Caenorhabditis elegans: one gene and its partner. The protein of the gene in region 2 interacts with the protein of the main gene of each other region in a pairwise test. Each region holds a gene or a part of one and is shown on either strand. Other genes may lie near its edges.

Region 1 (4,059 bases), 140 kb from region 2:
ACGTACGAGAAGAGAATAAACTCTATTGTTATGACCGGTCAGAGTACGGATACATCTCCCAGTATGAGCATTCCAAATTTTAACGGTAAAATCATATCCTCCCGAAACAACAGTTGTTCCATCGAATTGAACGCATCGAACGGCTGCATGATGGCCATGTAAAGTTGCCAGGTGACGTCCGGATTCTACGTCCCATACACGAAGAGTGGTATCTCGTGATCCAGTGACAAGTCTGAAAGTATTAAAATTAAAATGTATGGGTTGAAAGTGTGGTTATTCAGCGAGATTTTTCGTTTTCTTCTCATTTTTAAGATAGAAAATGTATTAAAAAAGTCTTAAACAACCAAATACACGTTCGTGTTTTTCTATTTTGAAACAAAAGTTTTAAAAAAATTACCATAAACTTTTTTTGTGAAATTAGATAGAATAATTTTCTTAAGATATAAATGATCTACAAATCAAAAACTTTCCATCAAGATTTGATATAGCTCGCAAATTAGGGAATTCAACTGTACGAAACCCGAAATTTTCAGTATTAAATTTCTTTTTCCAAGCAGTTATCATAGTGAATAGCCTTACATGGAACCAGCCATAGCCATGCATCGAACAGTGGAAGTATGTCCTTGAAGTGTATGAAGAAGTGAACCATCTACAGTACTCCAAACTTTTACAGTTCTATCAGTGGACCCGCTAACAATATATCTTCCGCATTGAGAAATCTGTGATGTCCAAACTCCTCCAGTGTGGCCGACTAGTGTGTACATAACCTCTCCTTTGTCAATACACCATACTTTAAGAGTGTTATCGTCAGATCCAGTCACCAAGACATCATCATGAATTTGCATACAAGTGATTACATGATCTTCGTGTCCTCGTAGCACTGCTGACCCCATAATTGGATTCGCATTCCAGTTCTTTTCAATTTTATCGGCTCGAAGATAACGTGACTTGTCAGCAGCGCGTTCGAAGATACTGAAAATAAATCGAATGTGATCGGAACGTCTTTAAAAATAATATTTCCAATAAACGTACTCTCCAAACTTCTGCAACTTTAGAAATCGATGAACATTAAGATCACATGGCTGAATGTGATCAGGAATAGTGACTCCAGCAGCAATTGCAGTTCCTTGCCACGCACCAGTAACTCGGTCTCTGAAAAGATAATACTAATCTCAAATAATTCCCGTTCAAAAGTATTACGTGGGATCTGGATGATGTTTAAACTCTTCGACACCAAGACTCTTCCAAATTTTGTCAATTTCAGATATCAATTTCCAATTTTTCGACACCTGTGCCACTTTGAGCAGGTCATATCCGGTTAAATTGTGAAGGATTTTCATTCCGAGCTGAAAAAGTTATATTTATAATTTTTCTTTCCGTTTCAACACAAATACCTCGACAGGGAGGCAGGAGAGGAAATCACGCTGGAAATGGGGTTCAATAATGGCACGCAGCTGTCGAATATTTGTCATGTTGGATTCCTGAAGCAGACGTGTGAATGCATCCATTTGTTCCGCGCTTGATAGATCCTAAAATGAATTCAAATTACACTTTTTTTCAGCAAAAATAGAGCGAATATGCCTGGCTGAGGTGCTCTCTTCAAGGTTTGGAAAAATCAATAATACACAGGTCACCCTCACCGGAGCTTGAATGCATTGTTTTGTCATGTTACTAATTATTGTCGCATTCAAATATTAATTTATTGCATGTGTATTAGCCGCAACGCTGAAAGATTGATCGCGACAATCAATCAATATGTTTACCTTGAATAATGCGATCAAATGTTCGACACGCGGATTGAGGTCGTTGTTTCGAGAGGGAGAAGCCGATAAATCAAGTTTGTGTTGCAAAGGTCTGGAACTGGTACGTTTTGCTATAAATATTCACTACAAAAAGGCTTACGACGATAATTTGTCAGCATTGTAGCTGGAAGAAGAGCCATTGCTGTACGAGCTTTCTTCTCCATTGTCCTGAAGACAAACATTTCAATTAGAATTAAATTATATTCTGAAAAGGGTTGTAAATGTTAACATACATTATATTCCATATCATTATCGGTAACAGGCTCCTGGTCCTCCGGTGTCATCGATCCATCATCCATGTGTACATCATTTCGTGGCCACATATGGCTGAAAAAGAATTGGAAATGAATAAAGGACAAAAACTACTGGGAATGAAGAATTTGAACACAAAAGGAAAGTCGATAAAACTATGATTTTCGTGAGAAAATGAGAAGAGAAGATGAAAGCTTTTTGCACGCGATATGCGTCAAGGCATCCAGTAGTGCGCCAATAACCGCTTGACGCATTTTCCGACGCGCACGTTTGTTCACTTGATGTTCACACGATGAAACATTTTCTATGCATATAAAGTGTATAAAGTTGATAAGATAACTTCAACAAATATTCTCGTGTAAAATAAAATATAAAATGTCCGACTTGTCGGTCACATAATCAGTTTCACAGAAGAAGCAGGTGTTCGATGGTCACTGCTGTTGCATATGACAGCTGGGTTCTCGTCCTTCATGATGGTGCAGAAAAATGTGTTCAACCTTGTTTCAAAATCATTTTTACGGAAAGGTTGTTTCGTATTGCACAAGTAAACCATCCTTATAAATTTCAGGATAATAAGGAATTTAAAAAACGAACTGCATCCCACGAAAACTCTTGTTTTGAAATTTTAAACTGAGTATATTAATTCAGTTTTTGAATAAAATAATACATATAGGTAATATGGTTTTTTAAAACAAGTGATTCAATTTACAACCACAAAAGAAAAATGATTTAAAATCTGTAACATTCTGAACGTAATGTGGTATTTCCATAACTGAATTCAAAAGAATTATGACCATCTGTGGCTACCGAGGGGGTAATTTTATGGAAATGAATACCATAAACTGACAGAAAAAGAGACACGAACACCTGCCACAATTGGAAACAATCGCTTTGGAATTTCTGTATAATATTTCTTCACAAATGTCAAGAACTATTTCTGATATGATAACACATTCATGACTAAACTGCAATTCCCATCTGAAATACGTTAGTTGAGTCATAGCTCACTATTTGCTCCATTTCTTTGTTTTTCACACTTTATTGGCTTTGTATTGCGGGGGGACGAATATGAAAGAATTGAGATGTGATTGAGAGGATTCAATTCATAAATTGTACTGATATTTATCAGCGAAAGTTAAAATTCATATTTGTCAGCAACACATCACATTTGCAAGATATATATTCAATATGCTAGAAATTGCACAAAACCGAAAAATACGATTATTTGAAATAGCCTACATTCTCTGAAAACGGAAATTCCGATTGTTCGACTTCAGGAGGAGCCACAATTTCCAACACTTTTGATATGTTTATTTAGTGAAATAAAAACTGAAATAAAATCCAAATCTATTCAAGAATGACGTTGGTATCAGACAATAAATTCGTGAAATATATTTTTATTTTCACGCCTTTCTACCTATATCATTTCGATAAAAAAAGGACGACGAAACATGAAAATAATTAAATTAAAATAATTTGGCAATTTTGATACTAGTCCAGCTCCAGTATGTCAAAAAATTCGATTAGTTGAAAGAGACCTGACCAATTCGGAAATTTCTGTAGAACGATTTTGGAAAGCTGAAAAAATGTTTTCTTGGAAGATTTTCACATTATAATTAAAATTTGAACTGCAAAACTATAGAAACAAAAACAGAATAAAAATGAGCTCTAATTGTAAATTTAAGGATAAAATCAAATACCAACATCATACGTGTTGCCAAAATTTAGGGTTTTCGGTATGGTGTCTAGAAAATGAAATAGTGGGTATACCTGATTTAAAATTAAAAAGTGTTCAGTCTGTTGTTAAGACTATTATATGTTGCCCACAAATTATTAAAAATGGGTATTTCAGAAAAACAAATGTATTATTTTTGTAGAGCTTTATTTATTTTCAAATATAAATGGCCAACTTACAAACTTTTTGATTACAATATGATGATCTGTTTGTTGGTTTATCGAAAAACGGCATGTTCAGAAATTGCCGAAATTGAACATTTTTTAGAAA
Region 2 (4,057 bases):
CATCTTAAGAATTTAAAGAAGTGTTCCCGTAATAACAGTTCTGAGTTTTTGCTTCATCAATTTCATTTGCGACTAATCTTTTTTTGAAGTCCCTCCACAACGAGAAGCTCAAACAAATCAACGTCTCGAGCTCCGCCCACCTGATTGGTGGAAAAGGTTTTAAAATGTTTGCTTTTCGCTTATGGTATTTAATAATTTTAAATTATTTTGTTCTGAACTGGTTCCTGGATCGGATGAAATATTTCCCTTTTCTAATAATGTGCATTACGATCTCGACAGCAACTTTCCACATGTCACAAATGAACTCTTCATTATGTTTGCGGTTCAAACAGTGAGAAGGAAATCAGGTTACCAAATGAGAGCAGAATAAAAGCCTACTAAAACGGTGGGAACATATAAATGGGGATAATGGAACATTTCGGGAGGAAATTAAATATTAAAAGAAATTGGGAAATAAAACAACACATAATAATGAAAAAGAGATAAATAGAAAAAAGAAAAACTGGAAGGGAAAAACTCGGGGCTATAAAGCATGGAGACGTGGGTGATGATGAGGGGGAAATCGAAGGGACAAGTAGAGAGAAAAGGCAAAATGAACAAAAATTGAATATATCAACATTATCATGAATGCGAAGGATGAGGGGGGAGGTGGAAAAAGAATAAAACGGTAGCGGTCGATAATGATAGACATGGATAAATGGGGGAAAATGTGTGATGAGTCCAACAAACTAATACGGGGTCAATGAGTTATGGCTCGCGAATTGCTGCAAAACTACGGAAACCCTCAGAATGTCACACACGGGTTCGAACGATTTGCCTCAATTCTCGAGCAAGCAGACGGTTTAACAATATGAACGGGAATAAACTGTAGATTGTAGACGGCAAAGAAGGAAAATGAAGAGAAGATTTAGTTGATGATAACCATTTGTCCGAGCAACTCGGAAAGAACACGAGAAGCCTGTTCCTTTGAAATCTGAAACTATTTTAAAATCATTTCTTTGAATGTCGAATAATATCTAACCTCAACTGGCTCTGTCTGGCACTCGACGCTCTTCATCACAACTTGGTCGGTGGCAACATTAGCGTGCTGCATCTGTGGGATGTGCTGATGGGCAAGAATTTGCTGATGATGGTGTGGCTTACGACCATGTCCCTGAAACTGGTGTGAACTGTATAACATTGCACAAAATTTAAAAATATTTCTCCTCGTTTTTTTTGATTAAACAGTTTCACACTCACACCTCCCTTTGATACATTTCTATAACTTACCGCCAGGCCAAGGGCAATTAGCCACGATGGAGGCTGCTGGAGAGTTTGCTCGTTTAACCGCGTCTAAATTCGAATAGCCGGATAAGAATTATTAGAGCTAATTATCAAGCACGCACAAAACGAGAAAATGATATATAAGAAGCCGGGGGTTCATGCAAAGTCATGCTAGGGACAAGTCATCACAAAAGCGCCGGTTCACAAGCAAGAAACTACAAATACTTACTTCGTTCTCGGAATCTGGGGTATGGGACAGAGATCCAGCGTCGATTGGCTCCGATGGTGGCTGAGAATGCATTTGAGCACCCATTGGTGGTCCATTTTGATTCATTTGATGGAGAAGCGGCATTGGAAGGAATGGTGGGAAACGCATCGGCATCTGAAAAACAAATTAATGAAAAATTGCAAGAGGATAAATTTTATTTTATCACCGGTGGTTGGAATTGATTTTGAAGTCCAGGTGGAACCATCATCATTGCTCCGTGAGGCCGCATTGAGTTCATCTGAGCAATCGTCGCATCCAGTGAGTGCACAGGCATACTGAATGGGTGCTGAAAACAATAATTGTCATGCCAATAAATTATAGAGAAAAATGCATACAGTTCCGAGCAATTGGCTCCACTCTCCAAGCGTATGATAGTTTGGCTCATTTTCAGTTTTCAATTGGAGACCGTCGTTGAAGTATCCCGCTTGAAGCCAGAACAGCATATCCTTTGACATATATGGTCCTGAAATGTATCACATTGAGTTTGAATTTCGTGATTTTTAGTTACCAACCATATTTTTCACTGTCAGGGCCGAGATAGTGCCATTTTGTGTCAATGACAGGTCCATTGTTTCCGTTCTTGTGCATCGCGCCGTCGGTATTTTGATGTCACTAGTGATAAACCCTGCAATTATTTAAAATAAACATAAACAAAATGAATGTAGATAAATGAAAATATAAGCAAAGGCCCAGGGACCTTGTCAACAACAAATAATATTTAAAAGTGAAAATAAATTTTTTTAAATGAAAATTAAGAAAAAAAAAGTATCAATCATCCTTCTCAAACCATCGTTCCTCGTCATCTCGCTCTTTGATAGGATTTGATAATCCAAATTCTTCACATTTTGAGTAGTCGTAGAATCTGAAACAAATTAGATTTTTCCATATGAAACAAAGAAGGAAATTAGAGTTTTCTTGTCTACAATGGACAGCATACAGGACACAAAAGTGGAGAAAGTCTTCTCATCGATTACATAATGGAAAATTGGATGGTCGAGAGGACAAGAAGAGATAGATGAGAGAAAGTGAGGAAAAGGAAAATCTGAGTTAGAAAGTACGTTCGTTGTGATTGAAGGTTGAAGGTCATAAAAAGAGAGACAGTTAGCGGAAATACAGATGTTATCTCATTCTAAACGCACTCTTTATCTTTTCCCGCCAAAAACTTCTGTTGCATGAAAGCCTCAAACTCTCGACGAAGGACTTGTTGCGTTTCATTCTCGTCTAAATCATCGTACTGCTCAGCTTCCTGAAATTTAAGATTTAATTGGACGTTTTCTCTGTCTCAATATCTCACAATTTTAGACAGTCTTTCCATTTCTTTCCGCATCGTTTCAATCTCATCCTCAACTTTTTCAGTGCTTTCTTCGTCTCCCTCCTCCTCTTCTGGCACAAAATTCTCGGCATGACTATCGACATGAGACATGAACCGGTTTATATGATCTCTTCCCCCATCATCAAGGTCCCGCGAGCCTTCCCATTCCCTTTCTTGAAGATTCCGGCGTTCAGCAATCTCTGTACTGTCCTCAAGGCGGTCCATTAGAGTAGACCAAGTAGATTCCGATTTGTCACGAGACACAGTTGGACGAAGATGGTCCATTCTTTCTGGAATTTATTAATATTGAATTTGAACTATTGCAAAGTTTAAATCGATACCTTCATCGTTCAGAAACTTTCCAATCATTGCATCAAAGAGATAGGGTTCCCTTTCTCTCATTTTCGCATCAGAGAAAAATTCGCCTTCTTTCAGAAGATTCTGCATCGCATTAAATCGGTAATTCCTTTTCTGAAACTGATGAAACAATTATAATCTTGTTGAACCACTCCCGGCGTACCTCTTTCTCAGTCATCTTTTGCTGTCCGCGGATTTGCTTCATGATACTCTGAACCACAAAATCATCATTATCAGCGAAAATTTGACCATCTACTGGTTCCAGGTATTTTTGATACCTAGAATTAGTAGAAAGGAATAATATAAATATACTTTAAAAAATAGAAACCTGGAGAGAAAAACTGGTAGTTTCTCCTTCGACAGCGTTTTCAGAATCTCCATTTTTTCATCTTCTGTCAGTTCCTCTTCATTCATTTGCTGATGCTTGAAAAAAGCATTTTTGTCGCTGATGATTCGCGAAAAAATGGCTTCCATCTGAAAAAGTAACGATCCCATCAATGTACGAACGTTTTTAAGAACTTAAAAGACAGAATCAAAGAAGAAACAAATTATGTATGGAAAAAATACATGAAAAATGTAAGAAATTGAGAAAACCAGGGTAAAAACTAAAGAGAATTTTCAACAATGAGCAGAGAGAAAATACGAATTTACGCGGGCTCCGCCCTTTTTTGCAGTTGCCGCGCGCAGTTTATGCAATGACCCGGCACGCATTCACTATTTCCAGCTTTTTATTTCCACAGAGTTTTTAAGCTTGGTTCTTGATTTATTTCTTAAAACTCTGTTTTAAACTAAAAGAAAACTTTAAAATTTAACCAAAAAAATTGTGTGTTTCTTAAAATCCAACAAAATTTGTTCCA

The links.
Region 1: the proteins of sao-1 (region 2) and sel-10 interact in a two-hybrid assay, tested with the Caenorhabditis elegans proteins (3 studies listed by BioGRID).

The regions. Positions count from the first base shown.
Region 1 is NC_003283.11:13,817,431-13,821,489, reverse strand, and holds the start of sel-10 (F-box/WD repeat-containing protein sel-10), read right to left. Parts: upstream 2,130-4,059; 5' UTR 2,126-2,129; coding exon 2,036-2,125; intron 1,971-2,035; coding exon 1,903-1,970; intron 1,861-1,902; coding exon 1,764-1,860; exon of another isoform or gene 1,641-1,763; intron 1,530-1,640; coding exon 1,395-1,529; intron 1,347-1,394; coding exon 1,201-1,346; intron 1,153-1,200; coding exon 1,033-1,152; intron 973-1,032; coding exon 580-972; intron 233-579; coding exon 7-232; intron 1-6. UniProt on the Caenorhabditis elegans protein: Probable substrate recognition component of SCF (SKP1-CUL-F-box protein) E3 ubiquitin-protein ligase complex, which mediates the ubiquitination and subsequent proteasomal degradation of target proteins.
Region 2 is NC_003283.11:13,962,034-13,966,090, reverse strand, and holds sao-1 (GYF domain-containing protein), read right to left. Parts: upstream 2,120-4,057; coding exon 2,044-2,119; intron 1,995-2,043; coding exon 1,867-1,994; intron 1,818-1,866; coding exon 1,698-1,817; intron 1,646-1,697; coding exon 1,493-1,645; intron 1,333-1,492; coding exon 1,270-1,332; intron 1,160-1,269; coding exon of another isoform or gene 1,154-1,159; coding exon 1,022-1,153; intron 980-1,021; coding exon 908-979; downstream 1-907. Other genes in the region: R10D12.13 (CCD97-like C-terminal domain-containing protein), read right to left, coding at 2,300-2,393, 2,671-2,777, 2,826-3,133, 3,185-3,320, 3,364-3,478, 3,529-3,674. UniProt on the Caenorhabditis elegans protein: Involved in negative regulation of early and late embryonic Notch signaling.